2 linked regions of the Oryctolagus cuniculus genome follow. The protein of the gene in region 1 interacts with the protein of each later gene in a pairwise test. Links are inferred from orthologs where the notes say so. Each region holds a gene or a part of one and is shown in the gene's direction. Other genes may lie near its edges.

The links. The genes of interacting proteins can lie anywhere in the genome.
Region 2: the proteins of TP53RK (region 1) and TPRKB interact in binary tests that used the Homo sapiens proteins (3 or more experiments, as listed by UniProt). The link is inferred for Oryctolagus cuniculus from reciprocal best matches to the Homo sapiens genes TP53RK and TPRKB.

What each region holds. Positions count from the first base shown.
Region 1 is NC_091442.1:12,875,489-12,885,432, forward strand, and holds TP53RK (EKC/KEOPS complex subunit TP53RK), read left to right. Parts: upstream 1-4,698; 5' UTR 4,699-4,750; coding exon 4,751-5,027; intron 5,028-6,137; coding exon 6,138-6,616; 3' UTR 6,617-6,716; downstream 6,717-9,944. Other genes in the region: SLC2A10 (solute carrier family 2, facilitated glucose transporter member 10), read right to left, coding at 1,060-1,087.
Region 2 is NC_091433.1:129,224,030-129,233,993, forward strand, and holds the start of TPRKB (EKC/KEOPS complex subunit TPRKB), read left to right. Parts: upstream 1-4,198; 5' UTR 4,199-4,346; coding exon 4,347-4,408; intron 4,409-4,789; exon of another isoform or gene 4,790-4,922; intron 4,923-6,385; coding exon 6,386-6,548; intron 6,549-7,401; coding exon 7,402-7,524; intron 7,525-9,954; coding exon 9,955-9,964. UniProt on the Homo sapiens protein: Component of the EKC/KEOPS complex that is required for the formation of a threonylcarbamoyl group on adenosine at position 37 (t(6)A37) in tRNAs that read codons beginning with adenine.

The sequences.
Region 1 (9,944 bases):
CGGCTGTCAAGTGTCCCCGGACGCAGCCACGCCTGTTCATTTACGGATACTCCATGTGGCTTTCACACTACAAGAGCAGAGTTGAACTGCAAAAGAGATGATGCAAAGCCCAAAATATTTGCTATCTGGATGTTAAAATTGTCTATTTATCACAGCGAGAGAGCAAGAACTCACCTCTGCTGGCTCACTCCCTGGCTTCCCGCTGTGGCTGCTGGGAACTCGGTCCAAGGCTCCCGTTTGGGTGGCAGGAGCCCGACTATTTGAGTCATCATTGCTGCCTCCCTGGGTCTGCATTAGCAGGAGGCTGAATCAGGGACTCCTGCCTTACCTGCCAGGCTCACCGCCTGCAATCACGCGCGCACACACACACACACCCTCCCTGAGAGTGGGGTCTGTACAGAAGCAGTGTAATACTCTGTTTTTAAAACAAGGATGCTGGCAAAATCATCTCCCAAACTGGATACATCCCAGCGGCCACCAGCACGCGCACTGGAGCGAGTGGGTGGCACACAGGCACACGTGGCGAAGTCTCCAAGCATTCCCCAGAAGTCACAGAGGCTGAGCCGCTGGAAGGAGACGGCTCTATGCCTCCCTTTGCAGCAGTTAGATGTTGCCACAAAATTGCTGCGTAACAACTGTGTGAGCAGGCGCCACGGCTCACTAGGCTAATCCTCTGCCTGCGGCACCGGCACACCGGGTTCTAGTCCTGGTCGGGGCGCCGAATTCTGTCCTGGTTGCCCCTCTTCCAGGCCAGCTCTCTGCTGTGACCTGGGAGTGCAGTGGAGGATGGCCCAGGTGCTTGGGCCCTGCACCCCATGGGAGACCAGGAGGAAGCACCTGGATCCTGGCTTCGGATTGGTGCAGCGCCGGCCGTAGCGGCCATTTTGGGGGGTGAACCAATGGGAGGAAGACCTTTCTCTCTGTCTCTCTCTCTGTCTCTCTCTCTCACTGTCTAACTCTGCCTGTCAAACAAAAAACAAACAAACAAACAAAACAAATGTGTGATGATAGCAAAAGGACCCCAGGAACCCTCAGGGGCCTGTAACTCTGTTTACTTACTTCTCAGGGTCATGGCACTGGCTCGCATGCAGCGTGGCTGGCCCTGTCACTTGTCTGCAAATTAGCTCTGTCCACAGGCTTGTCATCCTGGCAGTCAGCAGGCTTTGAGTTGCAAGTGCCAGGGACCTATCGCAAAGTGTCTGCAGCACAGAGCAAACGTATCGGTTCACAGGTATTGGAATATGTGCTTCAGGCATGGCTGGACCCACCTGCGTGATATTGTTAGGTAGCAAGTCAGAAATTCAGCCTGCGTGTGTGTGGAGGTGACACTTGCCAACGGAAGCACGCCTGCACGGGCCGTGGCAACAAAGTAAGGGAAGAGCAATTCTGGCCGGGGGTGTGGGTGGGGGGCACATGGGGAGCATGCAAGAGACACAGAAGGTAAATATGTCAGAAGTGTGGAGATCCCAGGGCGGCTTGCTGGGGGATGGGTGGGGAGGAGGATGCGGGGGTCCCACGCACAGCCTCGTGGTTTGAATTAAGGATTGGGTCTTCATCCAAAGTGCAGTGGGGAGGCAACAGATTCTAAACTCATTTCCCTACTGTAGAAGCCCGAACAGCCTGAGTAGAGCCTGGGTCTTGTAGACAAGTGTGCACTGCAGATTTCTTCCTTCCTTCCTTCCTTCCTTCCTTCCTTCCTTCCTTCCTTCCTTCCTTCCTTCCTTCCTTCCTTCCTTCGCTGTAGATTTCTAAAGCGGGGCTTCAGATGGCTTTGGTAACCACAGAGCTGGCCATGCGGCCACCAGTGGTTATGATAAGGAAGCCACAGCCTGGGGAACTGGGAGCACTCTGCTAGTGTGGGCTGCTGACCCGTGCTGGAGTCCACACGGTCCCAACATAGAGGTCTGCCAGTTGCGAAGGCGCCCTGGCGTGTGTGTGTGTGTGTGAAGGAGACCCGGGGGCTGCCGAGTGGCAGGACCTCTCTGCAGAGTCTCTGGTGGATCCCGGGACTGCGGGAAGGCAGAAGCAGCCAAGCACAGGCAGGGTCTGCCATCCATCGGGCACCCACGTGGGCCATACCTCAGTGGGTCGCAACAGGCACTTGCTGAAGGACAGCTGACTATCCCATCCTGCAACTCGGAGAAATGGTGCTGGCCGCCGTGGCACCCAGGGTGACGGGCACCGGCGCTTGGCTCCCCAGGAGCTATGCCCAGCCGCCTTCCCCCCTGCTTTGTCCGCAGAGTCTGAAGATGCCAGACGCACACTTTTCCAGCTTCTTCTGGACACAGGGGCCAGCTGTGGCTACTGTCCTGCAGGGGCAGTCAGCATAGAAGGGAGAACCAGCAAATACGGTGTGCAAGGGCTCACGCCTCTCCTCTTGAATGCGATGCGGTTGTGTCTTCACAGGATGAAGGGAGCTCTGATGGCCATCTCATGCCCACCAGGCAAGGATGGCAACAACACACCGAGGCTGCTGGGTGCCAATGCAGAGATCCTGTGACCCTGCTTTCAGAAGATGACCGAATCATCGCTGGAATACTCCACTTCCTGAAATGGTGTGAGATAACAAGTGAGCTCATTGTTTACCCTAGTTAACTAACTGACTAATGGGTTACTTGCAGCTCAAAATGTCAAAACTGTGCCATGCCACAGTCTACTAACTGTCCCCTAATATTCTCTTCTACTTCCTGTTTTGGTAATAACCCCCCCAAGGTTTTGGCTGAGTCCTCTGCTGCCCTGCTGGGGGATAGGTTTCCCAACCGCCTTTGTGCCTGGGACCAGGCAACCAAGTTCTGGCCAGTAGGATGGAAGTGGGAATGCTGGGTGTCACTCTGGGTCAAGTCCTTAGCTATTCAATATCTGCTGCCCGCCCTCGTCCCGGCTCGCCGAGTGGGGCAGCTGACAAGTGGAATAAGGCTCAGAGAAGGAAGCAATGGGTGGAAGACGGCTGATCTCCACTGTTGCATAAGAGAGAACCAAACATCTCTCATATTTCATCCACCGTTTAGGTCACCTGGCTGCAGTCGCGTAACCTGGCCCCCAACTGCTACAGGACTCAAAGCACAGAGCTGTTCCCTGGCGGTTTAGGTCACATGACCAAGCTGCTGGCCTTTGTCCAAGCCAGCCTTGCCTCCTGTTCATTCTTTGGGCCTGCAACCCGAGCACTCTCCCATTCCTCTACCTGGTTAGGCCTTTCAAAACCTGGGAAAATCAGAGAGGATGAGGGTGCAGGGAAATGGGATATACTTGCATAGAACTCTAAAAAGACACAGACCTTTGGAAGGGCAGTTTGGCTGACGGATCGGATTTTAAAGAGCTTGTCTCCTGCACCCAGTGACATCACTTGTAGACAGACGTCCCCAGAAACACTTGTGCATGCTGCAATGAATGATGCCTGGATCAGCCTGTTCATCGCAGCGTTTCGTAAGAGAAAGTAAAACGACAATAAGAAATGTACTAAAACTTAGCAACAAGGAACCGTTTGACCCTGTAGAAGGATGTGGCAGCTCTAGATATTCTGATAAGGAAGATTATCTGGGACAAACTGCTTAGGGGGAAAAAAGCAAGTAGCAAAATAATGTGCATCATATTCTCATTTCTGTTGGGGGAGAAGCCTCACAATGATATGTGTGTGCATGCACATTGTATAAAAACATGTGGAGGGGCTGGCCCTGTGGGGTAGCAGGTAAAGCTGCCGCCTGTGACCCGCCATCCCACGTGCGTGCCGGTTAGAGTCCCTGCTGCTCCACTTCTGATCCAGCTCCCTCCTAATGGCCCGGGAAAGCAGCAGAGGGTGGCTCGAGGCTTCAGGCCCCTGCACCCTGTGGGAGACCAGGAAGAAGCTCCTGGCTCTTGGCTTTGGCCTGGCCCAACCCTGGCCATTATGGTCTTTTGAGGAGTGAACCAGCAGGTGGAAGACCTCTCTGTCTCCTCCTTTCTCTCTGTAACTATTTCAAATAAATAAATACACGAATCTTTTAAAAATGCATCTAGAAAGGCATGATACATATAAAGTTCTGTGGGGCCTGGTGAGGAGTATAGCAATCTTTGATGACTGAGTGCAAAATTCTTTATAGCAAGAATCTGTTACTGCTCCTATCAGCCTTGTGATAAAGTCATCAATTTCTGCAACACAGTTAGGTTCTGTCCCCTCTCGGCCCCAGTGATCTGGCCATCACCATAGTCCTGAGTCTGTTTTCTGTAAGGAGGGTTTTCCACCGTTTAACCTTATTATTCCCCAAGGCGCTGAGAGAAACGGTGGTTGCTATCCCAGCACCCGCTCTGACTGCAGTGAGCCTTGTGAGTTCCGAAAAGGCTCTACTGGCCGCAAAGCTTTCCAGGATCCTGAGGAACTCCTGAGAAGGGCAAAGAGCACCCCAAAAATCGTTTTAATCGAAAGTAGCCGAAGTTTTCCGGAAAGAGCCGAAGAACTGGGAGCCGAGCACCCCCGCCCCCGGCAGCTCGCCAGCGTCACCGAGGGCTTCCGGAAAGTGCCGAGCAGTGGTGAGGAACGATTTCCCGAGAGTTGCCGAGCGTTTACGGAGATAGCCGAAGGGCTGGGGGCGGAGTCACAGAGCCGTTCGCTGCGGGCACCAAAGGCTCTGACAGGAGCCGAAAGTTGGGAGGCGGAACCATTTTCCCAGGGCGGAAGTGTTGCAGGGGGAGCCGCTAGAGAGGCGGAAGAGCCCGGAGGATTTTCGGAGCGAGCGGAAGCGTCGCCGGCATTTCCGGGGAGGGCGGAAGCGCTGCCATGGCGGCCCCCGACGCTGGTGCCACAGAGAATCACGAAGAGCCCGCGGCGGAGGCGTTGGCCGCGGCCCTGGAGCGGAGCAGCCGCTTCCTGAGCGGCCTGCAGCTGGTGAAGCAGGGCGCCGAGGCGCGCGTGTTCCGCGGCCGCTTCCAGGGCCGGGCGGCCGTGGTGAAGCACCGCTTCCCCAAGGGCTACCGGCACCCGACGCTGGAGGCGCGGCTCGGCCGGCGGCGGACGGTGCAGGAGGCGCGGGCGCTGCTCCGCTGCCGCCGCGCAGGTGAGGCGGCGCGGCCGGGGCCTGGGGGTGCACTGGCGCCTGCCGCCCGGACCCCCGGTCGGGACGCGTCGTCCTCGCGCCCGGTCTCGATGCGCTCCGGGCGAGTTGCTGGCGCGTTTGGGCCCTGACTGTTGCTCGGTGGTGCACGGTTGCTTTGCCGCCTTGGCCTTGGGTTTTCCCGCGTGCGGTGTCAGGGTTTCCGTCACAGCAGCCGGGCTCTCTGGGCTCGCGTCTCGCGCAGCCTCGGCGTCCTTGCCTGCAAGGCGGCAGCGGTGCTGGGGAGCCCGCCTCCGGGGGCGCTGTGAGCGGTCGCCGGCTGTGTTTGAATGTCAGCCTGGCACGTGTTAGACTTCATTCGTTCATTTTTTTCATGAAAGCACCCCTGTGCCCCGCCGCCGGGAACTCCGACCTCAGCCGAGAACCTGGGGCTGGGAGAGCGGCAGCAGCTTTCCCGGGTCACATCCTCCCGACCTCCTGCACACCAGGGCCATGTCGGGGGCTGGGAGGCGCGGGGAAGCTGGGGGAGAGCAGGCGGACAAGTCCCGGGCGTTTCTGCGGTTCCGGAAGCTGCGGGCGTCTGTGTTCACCCCTCTCTGCGCTGCAGGCGCCGTGCAGCGGGGATCGTGGGCTGTAGCCCCGGGAGAGGTCTCCGTTTCTAGAACGTGGCCTCCTTGACTGTGCGCACTGAGGGTGGCGACCCCATGAGTAGCATAAACCGAGGTCGCACCGCTGCTAAGCGCAGGGATCGGACTCCACCCTTACAGACTGCGAAATGAGCCTCCCCGTGGCCACTCTGCCGGGCTCCGTTGTGTCCAGAAACTTCTGTCTGGGCCGGGCCTCCCCTGCTGGCTCCCAGGTTGGTGTGAGAACTAGGGTTCAGCCCCAAGTTGTAGTGTGGGGAAGGAGGAAGCTTTGGCCCCCCTACCCCGGGCTGTTTAATGGTCTCAGGCCTGAGCCCGAGAATGTTCCAGAGTCGAGTTGTGCCGTTTCCTAAAGCTGTTTCCTGAAGTGAGTAAAGACTGGAAGACTCACTTAACTTTGAAAATGAAGCCTTGACTAAGGGAAAAAACCAAGAATGCAACCCAGTAACCCCCCGCGTCTTGATTCCAGGCATCTGTGCCCCAGTGGTCTTTTTCGTGGACTATGCTTCCAACTGCTTGTACATGGAGGAAATCGAAGGCTCAGTCACGGTGCGGGATTATATCCAGTCCACCCTGGACTCTGAAGGAACCCCCCAGAGCCTCTGTGGCTTGGCCAAGGCGATCGGGCAGGTGCTGGCTCGGATGCACGACGAAGACCTCATCCATGGGGACCTCACGACCTCCAACATGCTCCTGAAGCCCCCGGCGGAGCAGCTGAGCATCGTGCTCATCGACTTTGGGCTGAGCTTCGTCTCGGGGCTTCCGGAAGATAAGGGCGTGGACCTGTACGTCCTGGAGAAGGCCTTCCTCAGCACCCACCCGAACACCGAGCCCGTGTTCGAGGCCTTCCTGAAGAGCTACGCCAGCGCCTCCAGGAAGGCCAGGCCAGTGCTCCGAAAGCTGGACGAAGTCCGGCTGCGGGGCAGAAAGCGGTCGATGGTCGGGTAGGACGCGAGGCGGCTCCACAAGGCTAGGCCGATCTTCAGGGTAAATCTGGACTCTACAAACGTGAGACTAGGCCTCAATAAATGTATCGAGCTGTTTTGAAGCCGTGTGTGTGGTCATGCCTGTTGAGTGTCGCCATCTGCAGTGAGTATTCCTAAGAGCTTGCGTGAGGTGCTCCAGGCAGAACTGGGTGTTTGCAGTCAATCCAGGACTGGGCATCAGCTTAGCGGTTGAGACCCCTGTGTCCTGTCTCGGGGTGCCTGGGTGTGGCGCGACCGGCTTCCCACCAGCGCTGATCCTAGGAGGCTGCAGTGATGGCTCGAGTAACCGGCCCCTGCCATCCCTGTGGGAGACCTGGATTGCCTTCCGGGCTCTGGTCCCTGCCTAACCCCGGCCATCGTGGGCGTATGAGAAGTGAACCAGTGCAGGGGAGTGCACTCTCTGCCTTCATCTGTCTGTCTCTTGAGTGAATGATTCACGAGAAAGTCAATCCAGGGCAGGCCTGCCTTTCAGCTTTGGTGTGTAAGCCTCAGGTGCGTAGACATAGCATCGAAAGCAGCCTGTGGCTGGGTGAGCAGAACGTTCGCTGTCGGTGCTGCTGGTGACACATCAGACCGTTGGTGATGAGCTCGTCTTCAGACTCGTGGGATAGAGTCCGACCAGAAGGTAGCAGAGCGCACTGTTTGATGAAAGCTGCTTTGAAAGCTGCTTCGGACGTGTTTCTGTTAAGGGTCATGGCAAAGCACGATACGTGCTCTAGAGCCTCATTTTCTCTTTCCTCTTACAAAGGGCTGCGCCTGCTCCAGTGGAACGGACATTCTGGTGAGACTGGCACCATGTCTGTTTTGGTCAGCACAGTCAGCGTCCACTCAGGTGCCCTGAATGGAGGCGGCCCTTCCCTGCTAGTGACTGGGGGAGAGGAGCCCTCGCGTGGCTGTTGACTGTTGAGCACTGTGCCTGTGGAAACAGCTCTGAGTCAGGTACTGTCTTTGAATGGTTGGGGAAACAGACTAGAAAGGAGCTCACTGCTCACGATGTCACAGGAGCAGGAGGAACTTGTCCCTGGCGCCAAAGCCCCTGTCTTCCCCTGGTCTGTAGGAGATACTGGACATGACCCATCTCTGTGTTAGGATAGTACGGAGGGGCTCCCAGCAGCTTTGAAGAACTGCAGGGCCCCGGGAGCTGCCAGTGACTTTGTTTGAATTGATAGACTCAGCGTGACTGAGAGGGCTCATTTAGTTTCTTCGTTTGTACTACAAGCCTAATACTTACCTCGTGGGGCGTGTGACTGGTTGATCCACGCCTGTGGGCATAAGTCAGCAAATCCCTGTTGTGTGCTGTGTGCCAGGCCCTGGAGAGCGCCTGGGAGAAGTGAGGAAGTCCCAAGTCGGTGTACTGCAGGGGTGAGGGTAGATGTGAAGAACGAGCAATTCAGGAGATGGGCGAAGTGTGCCCTGCGGAAGTTGGTGACGAGGACCGTCCCTGAGGGGCGGGGCGGCAAGGCTGCAGTGGCTGGCGTGAGGGAGCCAGGATGAAGAGAGGATGGGATTGGAGAGCTGGGTAGAGCCCGGGCGGTCACAGGCTGGATTTTACTCTTACTGGGACTAAAGCAGGGTGACATCCGATCAGTGTTTCGAAAGGGTTGCTTTAGATGCCTGTACAGAAAGTGTAGGGGCAAGAGGGGGAGCAAGAAGCCAGGAAGTGAGAAGGCTGCTGTACCTGGCTGGGCCACTAGGGAGGTAGCTGGGGCTGGGGGTGGTGGTGGTGGTGGCGGCGGAAGCAGTGGGGAGTGTGCTGCAACCCCTTGGCCGGGGCATGGCACCCGGCAGCGCGTGGAATGTGGCCGCCAGCAGCCGTGGGGTGGGTGGGGGGAGGCAGCAGCATAGGAAGCACTAATGAGGGGAGAGATCGGAATGCTGGGGGCTGGATAAAAGCCAGGGTTGTTCCCAGCAGTGTTGTCGCATCCGTGTTCTGACAGAAGCCCCAGGGGAGCCGAGGGTTCCTTTCCCGAGGGCTAAGGGGCCTTCAGAGTTGCAATCCCAACAAGGGTTACAATCCCCCATCCCAGGTGCAGAACACTCAGCAGTGTGAGGGGGCTCTAGGATCACAGTAAGTGATAGCTGCGATTCAAACCCAATTTAAAAAATGACTTATTTGAAAGACAGTGATGGGGGGTGGAGAGAAGAGTTAGCTTCCAGCTGCTGGTTCATGCCCCAAAATGGCTGTAACAGCCAGGGCTGGGCCAGGCCAAAGACAGGAGCCTGGAACATGGGTGACAGGGGCCCAGTTACCTGGGCCATCTGCTGCTGCTGCCCCAGGTGCGTTAGTAGGGAGCTGGGTCAGAGCTTGGCCGCTGGGACTTGAACCTGCACCCAGATATGGAATGCTGGCCTCCCAGGCAGCAGCTTAGCTCACTACACCATGACACCGGCCCCTGCACCCAACTGTTTAGCCCCAGTAAGTAGTTGAGTTGTCACTAGGTTCTCGCATGCACTAACTCATCGTACAGAGGAGGCAGCTGGGCCTGGTCTTGCCCGGGATCATTGACTGAATGCAGTGGGCTGTGACCTGGGCTGTGTCCAGCACTGAAATGGACAGGGGTCCGTGTCCTGTCATCGACAAGGGCTGTAGCTGGTCCACAGGCCTGGAAATGCTTCCAGGACGCAGTTAACGCCTTGAAGGCAGGGCCTGGCGAGTGTTCCAGCCGAGGCTCGGCCTTGGTAGATGAGAGGAGCCGGGCACACTCAGACCTGCTGGGGCATTTGGGAACACCCGGGTTAATGAAAGCTTGTAGGGTGCAGTGCCTGCCCTAGGTAGGAAAGAGAACCCTAATCCTGATCCTGGCTTCAGTAAAACTATTTACAAAAACATGCACGTTTGTCCTAGTTTGCTAATTTCTTTCTAAACAATTGTGTTAAAATCTTTGTCTTGATTATGTTGAGTTACCTGGCTCCCTCTTACCCTGTTACAGTTCATCCCTTGCCTCGTCCTAGTCCTAACCAGGCTGGCACTGGCGGCCAGACCTTCTAACAAGCGGAGCTAGGAGTCTGTCTTGCGTACTTAATTCAAGGCCCTGCACCTCCAAAGGACTGTGGCTCTCCTTTGCCACCAGAGGTCGCAGTCACTGTCGTTGGCTGGGCAAGCAGGTCCTCCACTTCCTTCTCTCCTCCCTCCTCCCTTCTTCCTCTGCTTCCCAACTCCCTGCCTTGCTTCATTCCCTCCTTCCCGTCCTTGAACTTGATCATGCATTCATGCCACACCTCAGCTGAGCACTTGTTTTTTTGTTTTTTGTTTTTTTTGACAGGCAGAGTTAGAGAGACAGAAAGGCCTT
Region 2 (9,964 bases), on another chromosome or scaffold:
CTCAAGTGAGTGATCCCTTGTCTACAAGGTGCCTTGTATCATGATTTAGCATTTATTTCATTTATATCTCATGCTGTCTGAAACACAGGTTCCAGAGCAGTCTTAGAATTCAGCCCCTTAACTCCCTCCTCTGTGGTGACAGCAAAAGTTTTCTGAGCTGATGAGAGTACGAGTTCAGCTCAGGGACTGAGTGACCTTTCCAGCTCCCTGACATCAAGGCCTCTGTGTTCTCAGTGTCCCCGTTTTGGGACGGAGGAAATGCTATGCCAAGGGCTGCGGGATCTGGCTTTCTGAGCTGCCGTGAAGGGCGAGGTGAGGATCTAACATCAGCTCCATGGGGGCCTTGGTTAATGAAACACATCTCAAACAAGACCCAGATTCTTGCCTCAGGCTCTGCTTTCTCTAGAACTTAGGCTAAGACGTTCAGATTCTTGTTCAAAAAGCAGACACTCTAGCTTTTAATTGTTTAGCCTTGCATATGAGAGAGAAAAGTACTAGATCTCTGCCACTGATTTGACATTGAAACCCTGTGAATATTTATACCTCCAAAGAACAGTCATGATAATGGCTTATCAAGGATTATGGGTTTCAGAGTGGATGTTTAGCCTAGGTGTGTCTGCATCCCACATTAGACTGCCTGGAGTTCCAAGCTCTGATTCCAGCTTCCTGCTAATGTAGACCCTGGGAGGCAGCAGGTAGCGGCTCAAATAATTGGGTTCCTGTCACCCACATGGGGGACTTGGACTGTGTTCCTGGCTTCTTTCTCCAGCCCTGGCCCAGCCATTGTGGGAATTTGGCTAGTGAACTAACTCTCTGTCTGCCTGTCTCACTAATGCTTCTTACATAAAGAAATTTTTTAAATGAAAAGAAATTTTATTAATAATTTTACTACATGTGTACAACTGCACTGATCAAATGAGAGTAGTCAACATTTCTCCTTTCGCATTATTTTGTGATTGGAACCTTGGAGCTGCTTTCTTTTAATTGCTCACAAAGTTTTTGTTTTTTTAAACAACTGATTTCCCTTTTGGGGTTCTTTTCACCCATTAGGTGGGAGTAGTTTTTGGAGTCTGAGTGTTTCACATGCCCCATTTGTTCAGAAAGCACATCTCGTGTTAGTGTCATTGTAAACACATAGTAACGGCATAGTTAGCAAGTCTGTGTGAGGGGGTCTTCAGAAAGTTCTTAGCAGATGAATACTTTGAAAAAACTGCATCAATTTCCCTTTTTCTGCACCAAAACTTTTCATTATTTTTCCATGAAATTTGAAGTACTCTCATATTGCAGAGAACAAGGTTGTTATCTTAGAAAATTCTAATTTGATACATAGAGTCTATACCCCTACAGCTGTAGATAAAGAATCAGCCTTATTTGGGGATGACTTTTTTCCTTTTTTTTAAAGAAAAACAGTAAAATGCATCCTTTTTTAATATACAGTTCTATAGGTTTGACCAGCATTTGTAACTACCACACCAAAATATGGAACAGTTCCACCCCTTCCCATATTCCCATCAGATCACTTGGCAGCCAATCATCCCGCCAACACAGGCCCCGGCAGCTGCAGTTCTGATTTTCACCGCTGTCCATTCGCCACTTGGGGAATGTCACGTAAATGCACTCATGGGGCATATAACCTTTCAAATAGGCCTTCTTGGGATCGGTGTTGTAGGGCAGCAAGTTAAACCACCACTTGCAACACCAGCATCCCATATCAGAGTGTGAGTCCTAGCTGCTCAGCTTCTGATCCAGCTTCCTGCTAACGCACCTGGAAAAGCAGTGGCTCATGGCCCAAGTTCTTGGGTCCTTGCCACCCACATGGGAGACCTGGATGGAGTTCTTGGCTTCTGACTTTGACCTGGCCTAATTCTGGCTGTTGTGGCCATCTGGGGAATGAACCAGTAAATGGAAGATATCCTTCTCTGTCCCTCACTCTACCTTTTAGATAAATAAATTTTATTTTAAAAATGGCTTATTTCATTTAGCATGCTGCTTTTGAGATGCATCCATGTCACTGAGTGCATCCACAGTTTATTCCCTTTTGCTAAAATAGTGTTCCATTGTATAAGTATGCCTTAGTTTGTCATATACAAGTTGAGGGATATTTGGGTCACTTACAGCTTTTAAATTTTGAATAAAGTTGCCATGAACTTTTGCACATGGGTTTTTATGTGAACATGTTTTTATTTCTCCTGGAGTGGCACTGCTTTTAGGGGATGAGGGTGTGTTTAATTTTATAAGAAACTGTCATGCTTTTCCAAAATGGCTCCACTGGGGCTGGCGTTGTAGCACAGTGAGTTAAGCCACCGCCTATGATGCTGGCATCCCATATGGGTGCGGGTTCACATCCCAGCTGCTCCACTTCTTATCTAGCTCCCTGTTAATGCACCTGTGAAAGCAGCAAAAGATGGCCCAAGTGTGTGTGCCTTGTGTGTGCCTTTGTCCCCGTGTGGGAGACATGGATGGAATACTAGGTTCCTGGCTTCAGCCTCACCCAACCCCTGTTCTCTCTGACTCTGACTTTCAAATAAATAAGTAAATAAATAAATATTTTTTTTTAAAATGGCTCCACTATTTCACATGCCCATCAACAAAGTATGAAGTTCCAATTACATAGTATTGTGTTTTTTATTTTGCCTATTCTAATAAAAAAAGATAAAGTATTACTTCATTGTTTAAACAGCATAAGAAATAATTGACATACAATACACAGTACATTTTTTTAAGTTATACTGTGTGACTTGCTTTGACCTAAATACATTATGAAGCCATTACCATCAAGGCAGAACATACCTCTTGCCTCAAAGTTTCCTCATGCCCCTTGGTTATTGCATTTCCACCCCAGGCCCACTATCTGAGCAACCACTGATCTATAGATAACAGAACCTGTAGATCAGCCACACTGTAAAAGGCTCCGAGGCCTTATCTCAGAGCCGCTGAACTGTTCGTTGCCTGGAACACTGGTCTCAGATTCAGCAGCTTGCTTGCAGACCTGCTGGCTTTTTGTGGTGCGATCTTTCTTCACCCACAGCCTGGCACGCGCCCCGCCCTCTTCTTGTTCTCCACAGCTTACTGACCTGTCTCCCCATGCAAAGGGATAAAGATGGGCGGCAGCCTGCAAACATGGAAGACAGTTTGAAAACTTCCTCTCCTGGAGGCCGAGCGTTCAGGGCCACGCACCCCATTTCTTTATCGATATGCAAATCGGAGCGCTGTCGGCTCCAGGGCCTCCTCCCTAAAAGACCGCTGTGAGAGCCCGAAGCAAACAGTCCCGAAAAAGACCCTGGGCATCTCCGGCAGCAGAGGCCCGGGCAGAGCTCATCTGGGACAATGCTCTGCCCTGCTCAGAGGGAAGGCGACGCCCCCTGCACGGCCCCACACAAACCCCAGACTACGAACTGGACCTCAGCTTCCGGCTCCGGCATCCTTTCCGACTCCTTTGCCGGAAACGAAGAACAGATCCCGTTCCTCTTCGCGTCCGCTAGCGGGACTCAAGGCTTGGGTGGAAGGGTCAGAGAGCAGGGACCACAACCTCCGGGATCCCAATCCGGCCGGCCTACCCGGAAGCGGCTCGGGGAGGGCGGGGATTGGGCACCACTTCCGGAAGCCGAGAGATTGGTTTCCCAGCCGGAGCTCTTCGAGGACGGACCGGAGGCGGCCGGTGAGTTCTGCCTGCGAGCCCGCGGGCCGGACTGGGAGGGCGGGCAGTGGGAGCGGTGTTCTTGCGGGTGTACGGTGCTTCGCGTAGATGTTTCTCCATCGCTGAGCGCTCGAGCAGATGTGGACGGGAAGGGAGGGAGCCCCTGGGAGGAGGCCGCGAGGTGAGGGGACGCCGGGACGCCCTTGCCGGGCTGGTGGGACAGTCGCGGCTGAGTTCCCAGAGCCGCAGGGCGACGAGGCCTGAGGTGCGTTTAGAGAGGGTCGCAGTGAGTGCAGCCGGGGTAAGATTCCGGGAGGCGGAGTTGTGAGGAGGCCTCTCTCGCGAGGCCGCTGCTGTAGATGGGACGGGTGGCCGGGGGACAGTTCAGCATGCCCCACAGGTTGTAAATTTCTGCCCTCTCAGTGAGTGAATTACGCCAAACGCAAGCAAACTGTGTTCAAGTCTTCTAAAGGTTCTTTTCTTCTAGTGTTATGTACTCAAGTTTGTGTGCTCAGCATAGGAAATTCAGAACATGTACAACAAAATAGTTCTGTAAAAGACAATACCAATCACCTAATAATCTTATTACCCAAGATGACCATATGTTGGTGTTTCCTTTGTGTGTGTGTGTGCATCGTTTGGTAATTGAGATCATAATGATTATTTTTCTGTATCTTTTTCATTGGACATCAGCATGATTAGAGGTTGAATGAACCATGTGTCAGGACATTTTAACACATTTATTTTTCTGCTTGCAACAGAAAATGTCAGGTAATTCTAGCAAGTCAATAACTTTTTAAAAGACCCCACATTTTGCTTTTTCAGATGTTTTTATTTAATGTTATTTATTGCTGTTTTCATACATCATCAAGGCTACAGTTGTAAATGGCTGTTTAGTTACAACCAATCCTGTCATTGGCTGAATAGGTTTTCAACTTTTCACTGATAAAACGACAAGAGGAGCATCTTGTTATGTAATCTTCACATTTCCAAATAATTCCTTGAGAAAAAGAAATCTGGGACCCACCAGATAAAAGGACAAAATGGCCCCATCAGATTTTCCTACCCAAATACCTCGTTAAGACTCTGAAGATGTTCCATTCAAGGAAGTGGTTAGGTCATTTGTAATAGTCAGCTTTTTCTTTCTACAATGCAGTACCTCGGATTGGGAAGCTGTGAGAGAAGGAGAATTATTTCAGCTCTTGGTTTGGAGGTTCACAGCCCAAGATCTGGTGGCCCTGTTGGCTCAGCATCTGTAATGGCATTCTTGCTGGAAAAGTCCCAGGTAGCACAGAGCATCACATGGCAAGTGGGAGTGTGTCCGTCTGCGGCTCCTTAGAAAGCCACCGTGGTCCCTGGGGGCTCTACCCAGCAACCTAATCCAATCTGATCACTTCCGAAGGGCCCTGCCTCTGAAATGATAGTGGATACATTAACATAAGACTTTGGGGACCAAGCCTTTAACAGCCGGGCCTTTGGAGGACAACTGGACTAATATCTAAAGCATAGCACCATTCTAGTTACTCAAGCTATCTTTTTTTTTTTTTTTAATTTATTTATTTGAAAGGCAGAGTTACAAAGAGGGGGTGGGAACAGAAATATCTTACATCCTCTGCTTCACTCCCCAAATAGCTGCATCAGCCCCAGCTCGGCCCAACCAAAGCCAAGAGACAAATTCCATCTGTGTCTCCCATATGGGTGACAAAAGCCCAAGAACTTGGGCCATCTGCTGCTGCTTCTCCAGGCACATTAGCAGGGAGATGGACTGGAAATGCAGCAGCCTGTCCTCGAACCATCACTGATATGAGATGCCAGTTTCTCAGGCAGCAGCCTACCCTACTATGCCACAATATGGGCCCTTTAAATTGTCTTTTTTAAAACTGTCTGTTAGGTCCAGCGTTCTGGCATAGTGGGTTAAGATGCTTCCTGTGACACCATCATCCCATACGGGTGCCAGTTCATGTACTAGCTACTCCACTTCTGATCAAACTCCCTGCTAATGGGCCTGGGAAAGCAGCAGAACATGGCTCAAGGGCTTGGGCTGCTACCACCATATGGGAGACCCAGAAGCAGCTCCTGGCTCCCAGCTTCAGCCTGGCCCAGCCCTGGCCATTGCTGCCATTTGGGGGAGGGAGCCAGTTGATGGAAGGTTCCTCTCTCTTTCTAACTCTGCCTTTCAAATAAATAAATAAAACGTCTTCATTTCTATCCTTTCCGTGTTATGCCTGTGTCTAAGGAAGGGCCAACATATTATTGATTCTTTAATAATCATGTCCTCTCTACCTAATTGCCATGTGTGGAATGAGTATCTTTGGGTAAGTTGTGATACTTCATCTTTCAAATTTTATTTTATTCCTTAACATTTGTGTGCAGGTCTTGCTAAAATACAAAGTGGTGAGCCAGAAAGTTACAAAGGCTGAGAGTAAGGTTTCATTAGTCCCACAGGTGTTCTGCTCCTAGCTATCTGCTGGGAAGCAGCCCCCTGGTGCAGCCCCCCGCACCCCAGCCTGCTCATCTGGACGAACAGACTGGCTGGTTAGACTTTCTTCCAGCAGCAGTAAAGGAACTACAGGCAGCTCAGTGGGCTTCAGAAGACAGATGTGCTTGGGAGCAGGGTTTTCTCGTTTAACCGTTCTGTGCTGCTGTTACAGCTACTTTTACTTATTTGTTGGCAAGGATACTGGTTTGTGAAGGAATGAATCATAATGTTAACAAAGGAAACTTATTAGTCTTTTTGGGTTTGTGCAGTGGAGTCCTGCTTATCTGTGAAATGCAGCTAATGCACCAGCTGGACCTGTTTCCCGAATGCAGGGTGACCCTTTTGTTGTTTAAAGATGTAAAAAATGCTGGAGACCTGAGAAAAAAGGCCATGGAAGGCACCATTGATGGTTCACTGATAAATCCTACAGTGGTGAGTACAAAATGGGAGAATGAAGGCACCACGCAGGCATTTAAGGCTGTGCCACTTTCTCACCATGCTACTGGTTAGCCTACAATCTTAGCATCAAGTGAAAAGTTCTCATCCAACTCAGACTTGGCCAACCTTGAATTTAACAGTGAGTGGACACAGAAGCACCAGGCCCTGCCCCAGGGAAAAGGAAAGGTAGTGTGGCTGACCCCCGTGGTGGACGCCAGGGACCCCAGCTGCTCATCTGTGAGATGAGCGTTGTGAGGAAGCCAGTCTGGAGAGGCGTGGTGCCGCGGTTAAGACGACGTGACCGGGACCCAGCCACAGCTCTGCTGCTTACTGCAGCTCCGAGCAAGTGACAGCCAGCCTTTATGTGGCACTGACGTGCTCCTAGGATTGCTCTAAGTGTCGTTCTTCTAATTCTGACTCACCTTCCCAACAACCTGGTGAAGTGAGTTCTGGCATTTTTTGTCTCTAACTTAGCCAGCTCCCCTAGGTGGGAGAGCTGTGATTCACACCCTGACACGCCACGCCTCAGTCTCCTCAGCTACTACCTGTGAATAATGTCAGTTTCTGTGGGTAGCTTTAGGATTAAGGATCATACAGGTAAAATGTTTTAGAATGGACCTTTCTGATAATATTAGCCCTGGATAAATGTTAAACATTCTTACTGTTTATTTAAAGTTTACTATTCTGATTTTTTTCAGTATCCAGACCTTTGATGTAATAGTTTTGAAAGTATACTCCACAAGAATTGTGATAAGCTAAGGCAGCTTGACACTGGAGCGACCCTGGGATAAGGCCCGTGTCTGCAGGGTGTGCCAGAATCTCTGATTCTTGTTGTTCTCTTTGGTAGATTGTCGATCCATTTCAGATACTTGTGGCAGCAAACAAAGCCGTTCACCTCTACAAACTGGGAAAAATGAAGACAAGAACACTGTCTACGGAAATTATTTTCAACCTCTCCCCAAACAACAATGTAAGGTGGCATTCACTGTTTCTTTTAACCTTGTCCTAATGATCTGTGTGTTCCCCAGACATGGGTCGGAGACTGAGTTCCTGCAAACCAGTTATTAGGAATAGACCAGAATAACTGCAAAGAGAGCTCTGGACAGAGAGTTGAGTGGAGCTCTGCCTCTGAATAGTTGAGTCGGCCTTGGAGCCAGTTTGCTTGTGAGGAAAACAGAAGTTGAGCTAAGCTAGGGAGGCTAGTTTTGTTTGTCCTTCTTAACATACGGGATTGGGAAGATCTCGTCAGTACTGATGTTTAAGAAACAGGCGGAAACCTCAATGACCAGACGTTAGGCACGGACAGTTGATGTGTTAGCAGGCACGTGTTTCACTCTCCCTGTAAACTTCTTGTCCTTTCTGTGTACCAGGAACTTACTGGTGATATGGGCCTTGATGTCTTAATCTTTTTTTTTAAAAGATTTTATTTATTTGAAAGGCGGAGCCAGAGAGAATTCCATCTGCTGGTTCACTCAGCGAATGGCCACAATGGCTGGAACTGCACTGATTGGGAGCCAGGAGCTTCTTCTGGGTCTCCCACAAGGGTGCAGGAGCCCAAGGACTTGGGCCATCGTCTACTGCTTTCCCAGGCACATTAGCAGGAAGCTGGATCAGAAGTGGAGCAGCCTGGACTCGACCCAGCGCCCATATGGGATGCCAGCACTGCAGGCAGTGACTTTTACCCGCTATGCTACAGCGCCGGCCCTGGTATCTTAATCTTTACTCTAGGACTGGCCCCGCACAGAGAGAATTCAAAGCAGAGGCATAATACAGTGCACAAGTGAAAAGTTTTTATTTAAAAGTGAGAGTGAATGTACATGCATGGTGAGTGGGCTGCCCCACACATAGAAATACCTGTCAAGAATGGGCCAGAGAGTGCCCATGAGAAGAGAGAGAAAGAAAGCCAGAGAAGGGTCCCCAAGCATGGCAAAGGGCAAAAGAAGGTCCCTCCTCTGTTATCAGCTGCTTTTATGAAGTAGGGGTGGTGTCAATTAAATAACAAATGGAGGGGAGGTCTTAGCATGCATGAGCTCTCTGAGATTTTTATGGCACATCCACTTCCATGTGGCCATCATGGCTTCTCCTTCTTGGACCTGGATGAGACACAGGTGCATCCTGGGAAGGCAGGCATGGTAGATTGACAGGTGAAGGGATAAAGCCTGCTCATACATCTACTACACAGGAAGAGTCCACAGCTTGAAATACTCACAATAATACTTTCCCAATAAGAGCTAACTGAATTAGGGACTGGCCCTGTGGGGTAGTGGGTAAGCCAACTCGTGTAGTGCTGGCATCCCACATGGGCACCAGTTCAAGTCCTGGTTGCTGCACTTCCAATCCAGCTCTCTGCTAATGTGCCTGGGAAAGCAGCAGAAGATGGCCCAAGTGCTTGGGCCCCTGCATCCATGTGGGAGACCCAGAGGAAGCTCCTAGCTCCTGGTTTCAGCCTGGCCCAGCCCCACCTGTTGGTTGCCATTTGGGGAGAGAACCAGCAGATGGAAAACCTCTCTATGTAACTCTACCTTTAAATAAATAAATCTTTTAAAAGAAAAAGTTATTGAGCTAAAGGCATTCCACACACTGTATATGCAAAAATGCCTGAAATTTTGCTAATGAAGTTTTAGTATTGCTGCTACTACTACTGTTAATAATGCAACCTGGTACTAACAGCATCAAGAGAAAAATTAGGAAACCTGTGGCATGGTCTGAAATACAGATAATTACAAAGTTTGTAAAATGCACTTGCCTCAGCCTGCTAATGGAATTCTCCAGTACCTGGAATACAGTTTACCAGATTAGTTATTTCTTTGAAAACATTTGAAATAATTCACGAAACTGTTCAATGGACATGGAACTTGTCCCATTTACAGTGCCAGGGGCAGAAAATGCAAATATATTCCTGAGGAAAGGCAGATAAACAAGACAAAAGTTAACGTGCCCTACAGTGAATATGGAAATATGATGTTAATTGTCGGGGTAACGGAAGAAGAAGGGTGTGGCAGAGTGGCAGCTGAACCAGGCCTTGAAGCACACATTCGGTGGTCAGGCTGCAGGGAAAGGGGGAGACAGAGTGAAATCTGGCAGGATCCCCAAGCCCGAGAGGCCAGGGGCATGTGGCTAGAGGGTCACTTGGGCCGTGGGAGTGGGCTATTTATGTGAAGTGCCAAGGAGTCTGGGCCTGATTCCATAGGAACCAGGTCGGCTAAAGGCCCGGGGTGCCTTGGAGACCCTAGCAGTAGTTGGTGGAAAGGGACGATTGAGGGGAAAAGCAGGCAGACAGCTGTTTCCAGGTGAAGAAGAACTGTACCAAGGAGGATGGTGGACCAGGAGGTGTTTCAGGTACAGGAAACCCCGACTCATTATCTTGATGCTTTTGGATTTTGTTTGTATTTTTTCTTAGATTTCAGAAG